Linked DNA regions of Arabidopsis thaliana. The protein of the gene in region 2 interacts with the protein of the main gene of each other region in a pairwise test. Each region holds a gene or a part of one and is shown on either strand. Other genes may lie near its edges. The genes, in order: UBC29 and AT3G60300.

The links.
Region 1: the proteins of AT3G60300 (region 2) and UBC29 interact in a two-hybrid assay, tested with the Arabidopsis thaliana proteins (one large-scale study listed by BioGRID).

Annotation. Positions count from the first base shown.
Region 1 is NC_003071.7:7,265,907-7,269,690, reverse strand, and holds UBC29 (ubiquitin-conjugating enzyme 29), read right to left. Parts: upstream 1,970-3,784; 5' UTR 1,812-1,969; coding exon 1,742-1,811; intron 1,641-1,741; coding exon 1,513-1,640; intron 1,328-1,512; coding exon 1,223-1,327; intron 1,098-1,222; coding exon 954-1,097; 3' UTR 636-953; downstream 1-635. Other genes in the region: AT2G16730 (glycosyl hydrolase family 35 protein), read left to right, coding at 3,586-3,784. UniProt on the Arabidopsis thaliana protein: Accepts the ubiquitin from the E1 complex and catalyzes its covalent attachment to other proteins.
Region 2 is NC_003074.8:22,283,359-22,288,335, reverse strand, and holds AT3G60300 (RWD domain-containing protein), read right to left. Parts: upstream 3,074-4,977; 5' UTR 2,966-3,073; coding exon 2,807-2,965; intron 2,640-2,806; coding exon 2,610-2,639; intron 2,542-2,609; coding exon 2,503-2,541; intron 2,419-2,502; coding exon 2,281-2,418; intron 1,994-2,280; coding exon 1,854-1,993; intron 1,751-1,853; coding exon 1,647-1,750; intron 1,578-1,646; coding exon 1,462-1,577; intron 1,380-1,461; coding exon 954-1,379; 3' UTR 825-953; downstream 1-824. Other genes in the region: AT3G60310 (acyl-CoA synthetase family protein), read right to left, coding at 57-243, 328-555; AT3G60290 (2-oxoglutarate (2OG) and Fe(II)-dependent oxygenase superfamily protein), read right to left, coding at 3,922-4,495, 4,673-4,920.

The DNA.
Region 1 (3,784 bases), on a different chromosome or scaffold from region 2:
ATTAGATAAACCCCGTTTAAATAGGCGAATATAAAAAACATATATAATTTTTCAAATAATAATTGAATTCTAATAGCAATGTACACTTTTTCATTTTATCTAAATATTTTAAAACCAAAATTTAATTTTATCCATTCTATTTTGCAATAATTTAACTATATATTTCATGAAAATATACTGAATTTTAATTCTATATATTTCATTTTAATGGATAAGAGCTGAAAAAATATTTCTACATATTTCATCTTCGTGTTTTAATTCTTTATGATATTTAAATTTTAAATAGTAACCCACACACGTTTTCAATATTTAGTGTTCTAACTCTTATTTCAATCTATCTATTCTCCAAAAATATCGTTAGATAACGTAAGTTATTTTTGTTGTTTACTAAATAACTAGGCTTAAACTTTAAATATTAGTAACTTGTCCTAAATTTTTTACACAAACATGACTATAATTAATTCTCATTTATCTTTGATACTATTGAGTTTTCCCATTATAACCTTTATCTATGCATCTCACTATTTTATGTGTTGTTTGAAATCTATATTTTAGAGTTATTTTAACAAAATAAAAAGAAAAATAACAAAAATTTCGACAAAATACACAAAAAAACATATTTGAACGGTCCTTTAAAAAAAACAAATTCGCTAATAATATGAATTATTTTATTATATAAAATATAATTAAATTTTTTGATTATATAAATAATTTTTGTGATTTATGTATATATTTTATTTTCCCGATAGGGTTAGAAGATTTTTTATATATTAACAAAATTAGATTTAATACATGTCGATATCTCATCAATCATATGAGTTAACAACTTTGAAAACTCTACTTTATATATTATATATGTTTGTATTAAAATTATAACAATTTCTTCTTCTTCTTTTTTTATTACAAATAAGACCAAACCAAAATAAAAAGGAAAAAAAGAGGAATTGTGAGCTTTAAAACAAGGCATACTTCTGGGTCCAGCTTCGAGCCATGGCTTCATATTTGGTCTTGTCAGTTTTGTATATGTGAGCTATCTCTGGCACCAGAGGGTCGTCAGGGTTTGGATCTGTTAGAAGAGAGCATATAGAGAGAAGCACCTATAATACCAAAATGTTAGTAATTTGTGTTACCTATTGGAGCTTCTTGGTTATATACCAAATCTGATATATGGAATTATAGAAAATATTGACAAATAACTAAATACATATATAGAATTTCAAACCTTAGAAATGGTAAGGGCAGGGCTCCATTGGTCTTTGAGAATGTCCAAACATATGTTTCCATTACTGTTGATGTTTGGGTGAAACACTTTGGTTCTGAATACAACCTGATTTTATCAAACAAACATAACAACAAGAGTAAAGAAGAAGAAAAAGATTGAAAATAAAGATCAAAACTTAAGGTTCCAAAAGATCATAAACGATCCAATATTTAATGTTGGTTTTGTGCCTTTTGGTTATTGGATTTAAGAAGTAGATTAAAAAACAAAAAAATTGTTGAGAAAGTTGTTACCTTGGGAGGTTTAAAAGGATAATCAGGAGGGAAATGAATATTGACAAGGAAAACACCTCCGGAGTAAGGACTTTCATTCGGACCCATTATAGTAGCTTGCCAGTGGAACATATCTTCTCCTGTTGGACCTAAAAATCCCAAACCAAGGAGAAAGGAAATATCAAAATCTTTAGAAAAAATTTCTGATACATGGCTTATATTGTATTAAGAACAAATTGTGATCCTTTACCTGCACTGCATGATACAGGAGGGTCTCTTTGCAACTCCTTCAATTCTTTCAATATCCGTCTCGTTGCCATCAGGTTGCTGAGTGTTTGATATAATGGAAAGTAGCACTACAAAGAAGTATGTGAAAAAAAATATGAGTGGTTTGTGAAGAGAAGGAGAATGAGAGTTGTGTTTTTAAAGCGTGAACCGTAAGCAAAGATTTGTGATTCTCTTGCAAACAGGAATGCTTGCACTATTGCATTTATCATTGTTTAAGTAAAGATTTACCATTGTAAAGTCTCTTTTTAGCCGCCCGCTTTGCCCATAAAGGTAATGGAGAAAGATCCATTCTTTTGTTCTGATTCTGAAAGAGAGACGTGCCTTGAAGTGGATGGTCTTACGTACATGCTTACTGTAATATACCATATCTATTGAACGGTCTATAATGGGATTTGATAAAGTCTGAGAATCAGAATAACTTAACATAAAGAATGGTTATTACAATATCCTTTGTTCTTAATCTTATTGTCCACGTTCACTGGACCAGCAAAGTGATGGGTGATGAGCATCATGTTCAACAAATATAATCATAAATCATAACATACATTTGATGAGGTAAAATAGTTATTGAAAACTTATAGGACCCATTTCAAAAGTTTCTTAAGATTATAGGCCCATGTATCATTAGGAAAAAAAATTATAGGCCCTATTTACATACTTTAAAATTTTACAATAAAAAATTTACAAATCAGAGTGGCGTCGAGTGAGGAACACTCCACAAATCAGTGATGCATATATTATTTCCTTATTTTAAAGATTTATATCACAACATATCGTAGAGATCGTCATTGATCAACCTATATATGTAAATGTAAATCATTGCCTTTCAATCTAAGTATAACCTTCAAGCCTCTGTTTATTTCAGACTTATTAGGTCTTTTGAATATTGCTATAAGAAGAAACTCCACAGCTGTTAGTCCAAAGTTAATGTACATGCATGCTACGTGATTTGCCCAACCGATATTTTATGATGGTGATTACGGGAGGAAAATAATTCTCAACAATAGTTGGTCTCGATTTTTTAAAAGACGATTAATTGATTACTTAAAAAAATAGCCATTTTTTTTGTAACAAATGTTGTTTGCTTTGCTTTCAATCTTCAACCACACGGTCAACACATTTATGTATTTTACGTAAAAGAAGCATACCAAAGCTTTTACAATTTTTGCCGTTATGATATTTAAAGTTAGAAATAAGCTAAAGGTTTAAACGATGATAATCCAAATTACAGCAAAAAAATTTACTCAACTTGTAGACAAAGAATAATAACTAGATAACAGGTTACACAAATTTTTGTTAGATCTCTCATGGATTTAATCCACATTTCCACAATTAAAGAAGAACCAAAAGTGGTGTTTATAATGAACATAATAAAATAAAATAAAATCATTGGTTTCGTATGAACCATTTTTTTTTGGTGTAATACGCACCTTCTCAACATAAGCATTGGCTCACATTTCTTTTTGGTGGTGATTGAGAGAAGTCATTGTGTGTATACCCGCCAAATTAGGCTCTTCAACCAAAAACCTTAAAATTAGAAAATTCAACGAAAACAAAATGAAAGGAGGAAATAAGGAAATAAAAGGGAGAGTTATTGGAAGTTTTATTTACAAACAAAATGTGGAATCTCAAATTGAGAATACGTGAATTTCTCTGAAACCTTATGTTCTCTGCGAAACATTCTCTTATTTCATTTTCTTTCTCTAAAGTTTTTATTTCTCTGACAAGGAAGATATCCCTTTAGGTGGATTCTTGTTTAAATTTAAAAATCCTCAAGAAGAAGAAGAAGAAGAAGAAGATAGTCAAATGAAAATACATTCTTCTGATCATTCATGGCTTTTACTAGCCGTTCTCGTGATTCTCCTCTCCTTCTCTGGAGCTCTCTCAAGCGATGACAAAGAGAAGAAGACGAAATCGGTCGATAAAAAGAAAGAAGTAACTTATGATGGAACGTCTTTGATCATCAATGGAAATAGAGAACTCCTTTACTCTGGCTCCATACATT
Region 2 (4,977 bases):
AACAAACAAAAGTTAAAATCTTCAGATAACTCTAGGATAAGCTAAATCAAACGCACCATTTCCCCACAGTTTCTCAATAATATCCTTAGAGATTTCGATCAATTCTTCAGAGCAGCCAGGTAAATTGGAGCTCCCAAACTGTAATGTTTCCTCGTTTCGATACCTAATTACCTTACAATTGCTTGAAGATGATAAGGCGCAAACAATTGTTCGTACCATAAACTCAATTGCCGAATCAAAAACCTGAATTTTAATAAGAAAATCACTCACAAGTAAGAACTCAGCTACGTAGAAACAATGCAAGTCCAGGATAGATATGATACTAACCTGAGGTGCCTTGAAGCACATTATAGATAACGCTGCGTCCACAACCCTGACCCCAGAATCCTCGCAGCCGATATCCAGAGTCAGAGATCGGTTAAGCTCCGAGATAGCTAGTCCCATAGAAGAAGTAGACTCTTCCGCTTCTTCTTCTTCTTCGAATAATTCATCTCCGTTCTGAAGCCTGTAAGCAAGAGCGGCCAAGAGATCGGCGACTGCAGACGGAGAGGGCATCGAAAAGATGAGCAGAATCAATCGCCGGCGATGTAGATACTCGGAAATTACAAATGGCTCGGAACCGGTTAAGCCAAATATTTGTAATGCCCACTCAGATCATAAACCGGTTGAGGTATGAGTAGTTATGAAGTATGAACTTAATTAACACTTTGACGAAAAAAAAAAGAAAGTAAGATATTAAGCCCAAGCCCAATTGATAGTGAGGCCCAATTATGAGACGACACCATCTTTTTTTTTAAAGCGGTTTGTATTTTTGTACTTGCTATTTTCCTAAAGCTACTTTATCAGAAACAAATATGCTCACAGAAATGTATTTTCGTTGGTAATATGCTCACAATATATATATATCTTGTGTTTGAGTTTGAGTTTGATGTATCACACAAGATTAGCATAAATTATTTGTCTCCTTCTCTGGCTCTCTGCACCCATTGTCTCGTCGGTTTTCTTGGATCTTGCGAATTCGGCTTCCTTTCATTGACAGTAGGTCCCCGGCCTCTGCTTCTGCCTCTGCCTCTCCATCTCCCTCGACCTCTCCTGTTGGTGGAGCTGCTAGAGTTTGTCTCTGATTCAGCTTCTTTGGGTTCCTCTTCTCCTTGTTCTTGGCTTTCACCAGCTTCTTCTTCTTCGTTTCGTGACGTTGATGCATGAGCTGGTGGAGGAAGATACATACCGGGCACCACCGATATGTTTTTCTTCGGTTGAACCAAACCACCCTTTTCTTCCTGCGTCTTTAGAATAGACTCAAACCGCTCTCTTCTTATGTTCTCTGAATCTGACTGGAGCAGCGGGTCTTGGTCCTTGCCTGGTATTAAACTAGAGTCCTACGTGTAAGCCAAATTGTGAATTGAGGGGTTAGATCAATGAAAGGCACTGGATTGAATCCGAAGTTGATGGCTCACTCACCTGTAGAGATGATTGAGCACCAACTAAGTCAAGAACATGTTCAATGTCACTCGAGTGAAAAATTTTGCGGCACACTGGACAGTTTCCCAAGCTTTTATCTGCTGATCCAGAATTACCTGCAATACTTGTTCATTCAGATTACTTTTTCAGTAGTTTCCGTCAAAAAAAGACCTTATGATACAAACCTTCTCGAGCAGTTGATCCTCTACGCATATGTAAAGTGTCACCAGATTTCGAATCAGCCTCTTCCTGTGCATGAAGCCAATTCCACCACCTAATGATGCACTCACTGATCACTTGAAATCATTAAAGAACAATTAGACACCTTAAACATTTGGAATACAATCCCAACATAAGAAAGAGAATTGTAACTGAGGCTAACTATTCATTACCAGTGGAAACAATGAAAACAAGACATCAGCTTCATAAATGGCATTTGTTTACTCCCGCCATCCTCAGGGAATAACGGATACAAACACAGTGGACAATCTCCCTCCGGGTGATTCATAATTGTGAGCCTCTCCACTGCTTCCTAGAAACATATATTTTTAGTATACACTACATGACATTCTAATCTTAATCAAGATTGCATATGTAAATCCACGCACATACACACATCGTCTGCTCGTGATTCAGAAAACTCTACTTTTTCTTCTGCATACGACTTATTTCCTTTTAATTACACTAAATCTACCAGTCGATTATTTTTCATCAAGGAAAAGAAGTCACATTCTGAGATTTGCAGTAGCATGGTGCAATGAAGGAGAATTGCTCCACATACAGTACAGTAGAATAGAAGAAAATATATAGAGTAGTTACCTCACAAAGTTCTACAAGCATTAAAGAAGATGATAGTTGAGAAGCTTTCTCTTGCACTATGCCAATCAAAAGCTTTTGCCTTTGCTCGTCAAGACCCTTGGATTCAATCAGACTAATCCGAGGTGGTTCATCTGGATACTGTAATAACAAAAGAAGATACTTTAGCTTAATGATTCTCTACGCAAAGCTCCAGGATAATGACAACATTGATGACAAATCTACCTTAGAACCTGCTTGGAATCTAACAACGGCTTCCACAAACTGCAGAGCAGAAACAATGTTATACATCAAACATCAGATCATAGAGAAAAAAAAATTCAGAGGATCACTGAGTTCTTGCAACCAAAAAAAAAAAAAAACTTGAAAGCAAATTTTGGGCAAATCGAAGTCACATCAAATCATACAACAAAAGCAATTAAATTTTTCTACTTCTTAAGATCGAATTACTTATATGGATGATCGCCAAATCTGACAATCTCATTGCGTAAATTCTGGAGTTTTCAGATAGTTCTCGATTCCGAAGAACAAATTGGGGGGAAAAAAAAACCTGCTGAGAAGAGATTTCGGCGGTACGGGGCTTGATATGGAGGTGAAGATGAGGAGGATACGAATCCAGTATAACGCAGTCTTCGCTGTAAACTGCTTCTAGAGCTTCCACTTCCATAGCTACCTCTTCCTCCGTCATTGTTTAGAAGAGGAAGAGGAAGAGGCCGCACAGAGACGGCGAAGAAGAAGCAGACTTTTGTTTTTTCACTAATAGTTTTCATTATATATTTTATTGTAGCTTCCTAAAATATCTGAAACGGCCCAATACTATATAATAATTCTGATTTTGTCCAAATTAAATAGTTTTTTCTCAAATTCACCCTTTTTCCCTAACTTCTAATCCCCGAAGTTTCTACATTCTCGATAAGTAAATGTTAAAACATATCTGTTAAAAAGAGTAAATATGAAAAAGATTAGGAATAAAACAAATATAAAAAAAAGACGTAAGCGATGCCGGAGTTAAATTTTACCGGGAATCTGCCGACGGGGGACCAAGAGGCTGTGGCCGTACATACTTAGAGAACTTGACGGTAAGCTGTTTTTAATTCTGAGAAGTTTTATTTTTCTGTGTTTGTTGGAACGAAATCAAGCTTATTTAACAGATTTTGTACGATTTATGTCGTTGAATCGAGCATTTTACTTCCTTGTTTCGATACGTGGCTGGTTTGTGAACATGTTTGATTCCCTGTATTGTAAAGATGGAGAATTTAAGCTGTTAAATGTTTGGTAATTGTTCACATCTCATTTCATTGTCTGTGTTATCTGGTTGATTTTTTTTTTTTTTGTTCTCTCTATAAGCTTCAGGACAATTCATGTTTATATAGAGTTTGAAGAATGTCTTGGAACTTATTTGAGATTTGATAAGTCTTAACCCTTACTGTTTTGATCCATTTATCAAACTTTGCTCTTAGATGAGAAACTAATATGAATCTAGCATAAGGATACACTTATATGACAACTAAATATACTTTTATGTGATATAAACAAGGACTATTCACTTGCACAAGATAGTCATAGATTAAATACAAGATGCATGCAACTAGGTCCAAATAATCAACCATCGGAATTGCCGTGTCGAGTTATATGACACCATCTTCAGAGGTTTTTCTTTCTGAGTGTATCAATGAATCTTTTCTGTGTAATATCGTTTCTGGATATATAATCAAGAAAATCGTTGAAGCTGAATTCTCCATATGCAGCTGGTTTATTTTCATTGACGAGCTGAGTTGCTGGACTTATTTTCTTGTGCATAGGTAGACTGTGAAGACTTGCAAAAGAGAGCCGCTTGTAATCTTTGTTCACTGTTACACGATGAACCACACTCTTGTATATGCCATTGCTCATCACTTCTACCTGATCTCCCAACTGGACTATCAGAGCTCCTTCAATATACGGCACACAAACCCAGTTGTTGTTGCAGTCCTTTATCTGCAGCCCTTCGCTACTCTGGAGTAAGATTGTCAGCGAGCCATAGTCCGAGTGTGGTGGCATTCCCAAGGCAATCTCGGGTTCAGGACAAGCTGGATAGCAGTTTACCGCCATGACTTGTGAGCCTTCTTCTATTTCTTCCTGTAAGTAATTTTTCTCCAGTCCTAGACTTTCTGAGATAGCTTCAATTAGTTGCTTATGTAAAACATGCGTTGCTTCTGCGTATTTCCCCACCTTTTCCCTGATAGGAAAATGATATTTCGAGATGATCAAATCAGTTCTGAGTCACATTCTTTAGATACAAATTTCTTGCAAATTCTGAAACATCTATTGAGAAATTGGATTCTTAGACCAGTAAAAAGAGAACAAATTTGAGTTATTATCAGATAGTGAAGTTGGCCTAGATAGGTTTACTTACTTGTAGCAGGGAGGATTGGAAGGCCACAAATTGATCCAGTTTGAGAGAGGATGGGAGTAATGTTTTATGAAATCTCTCCAGTAATGAACTCTGTCTGTTGAATGGTTTATGCTGGTACCATACCTTACTGGCTCCTGAAAATTATCAGAAACCAGATGCATCTTCTCATCGGCAGGTAAGTCAAAGAACCTTGTAGCTGAATCTTGTGCATCTTTCACCACTGCTGATGATATTCCATGGTTTATAACCTGTAGAGAAGATCAGAGTAATGTAATTAATAAGAGGGATGAAAATGACACTAGTGT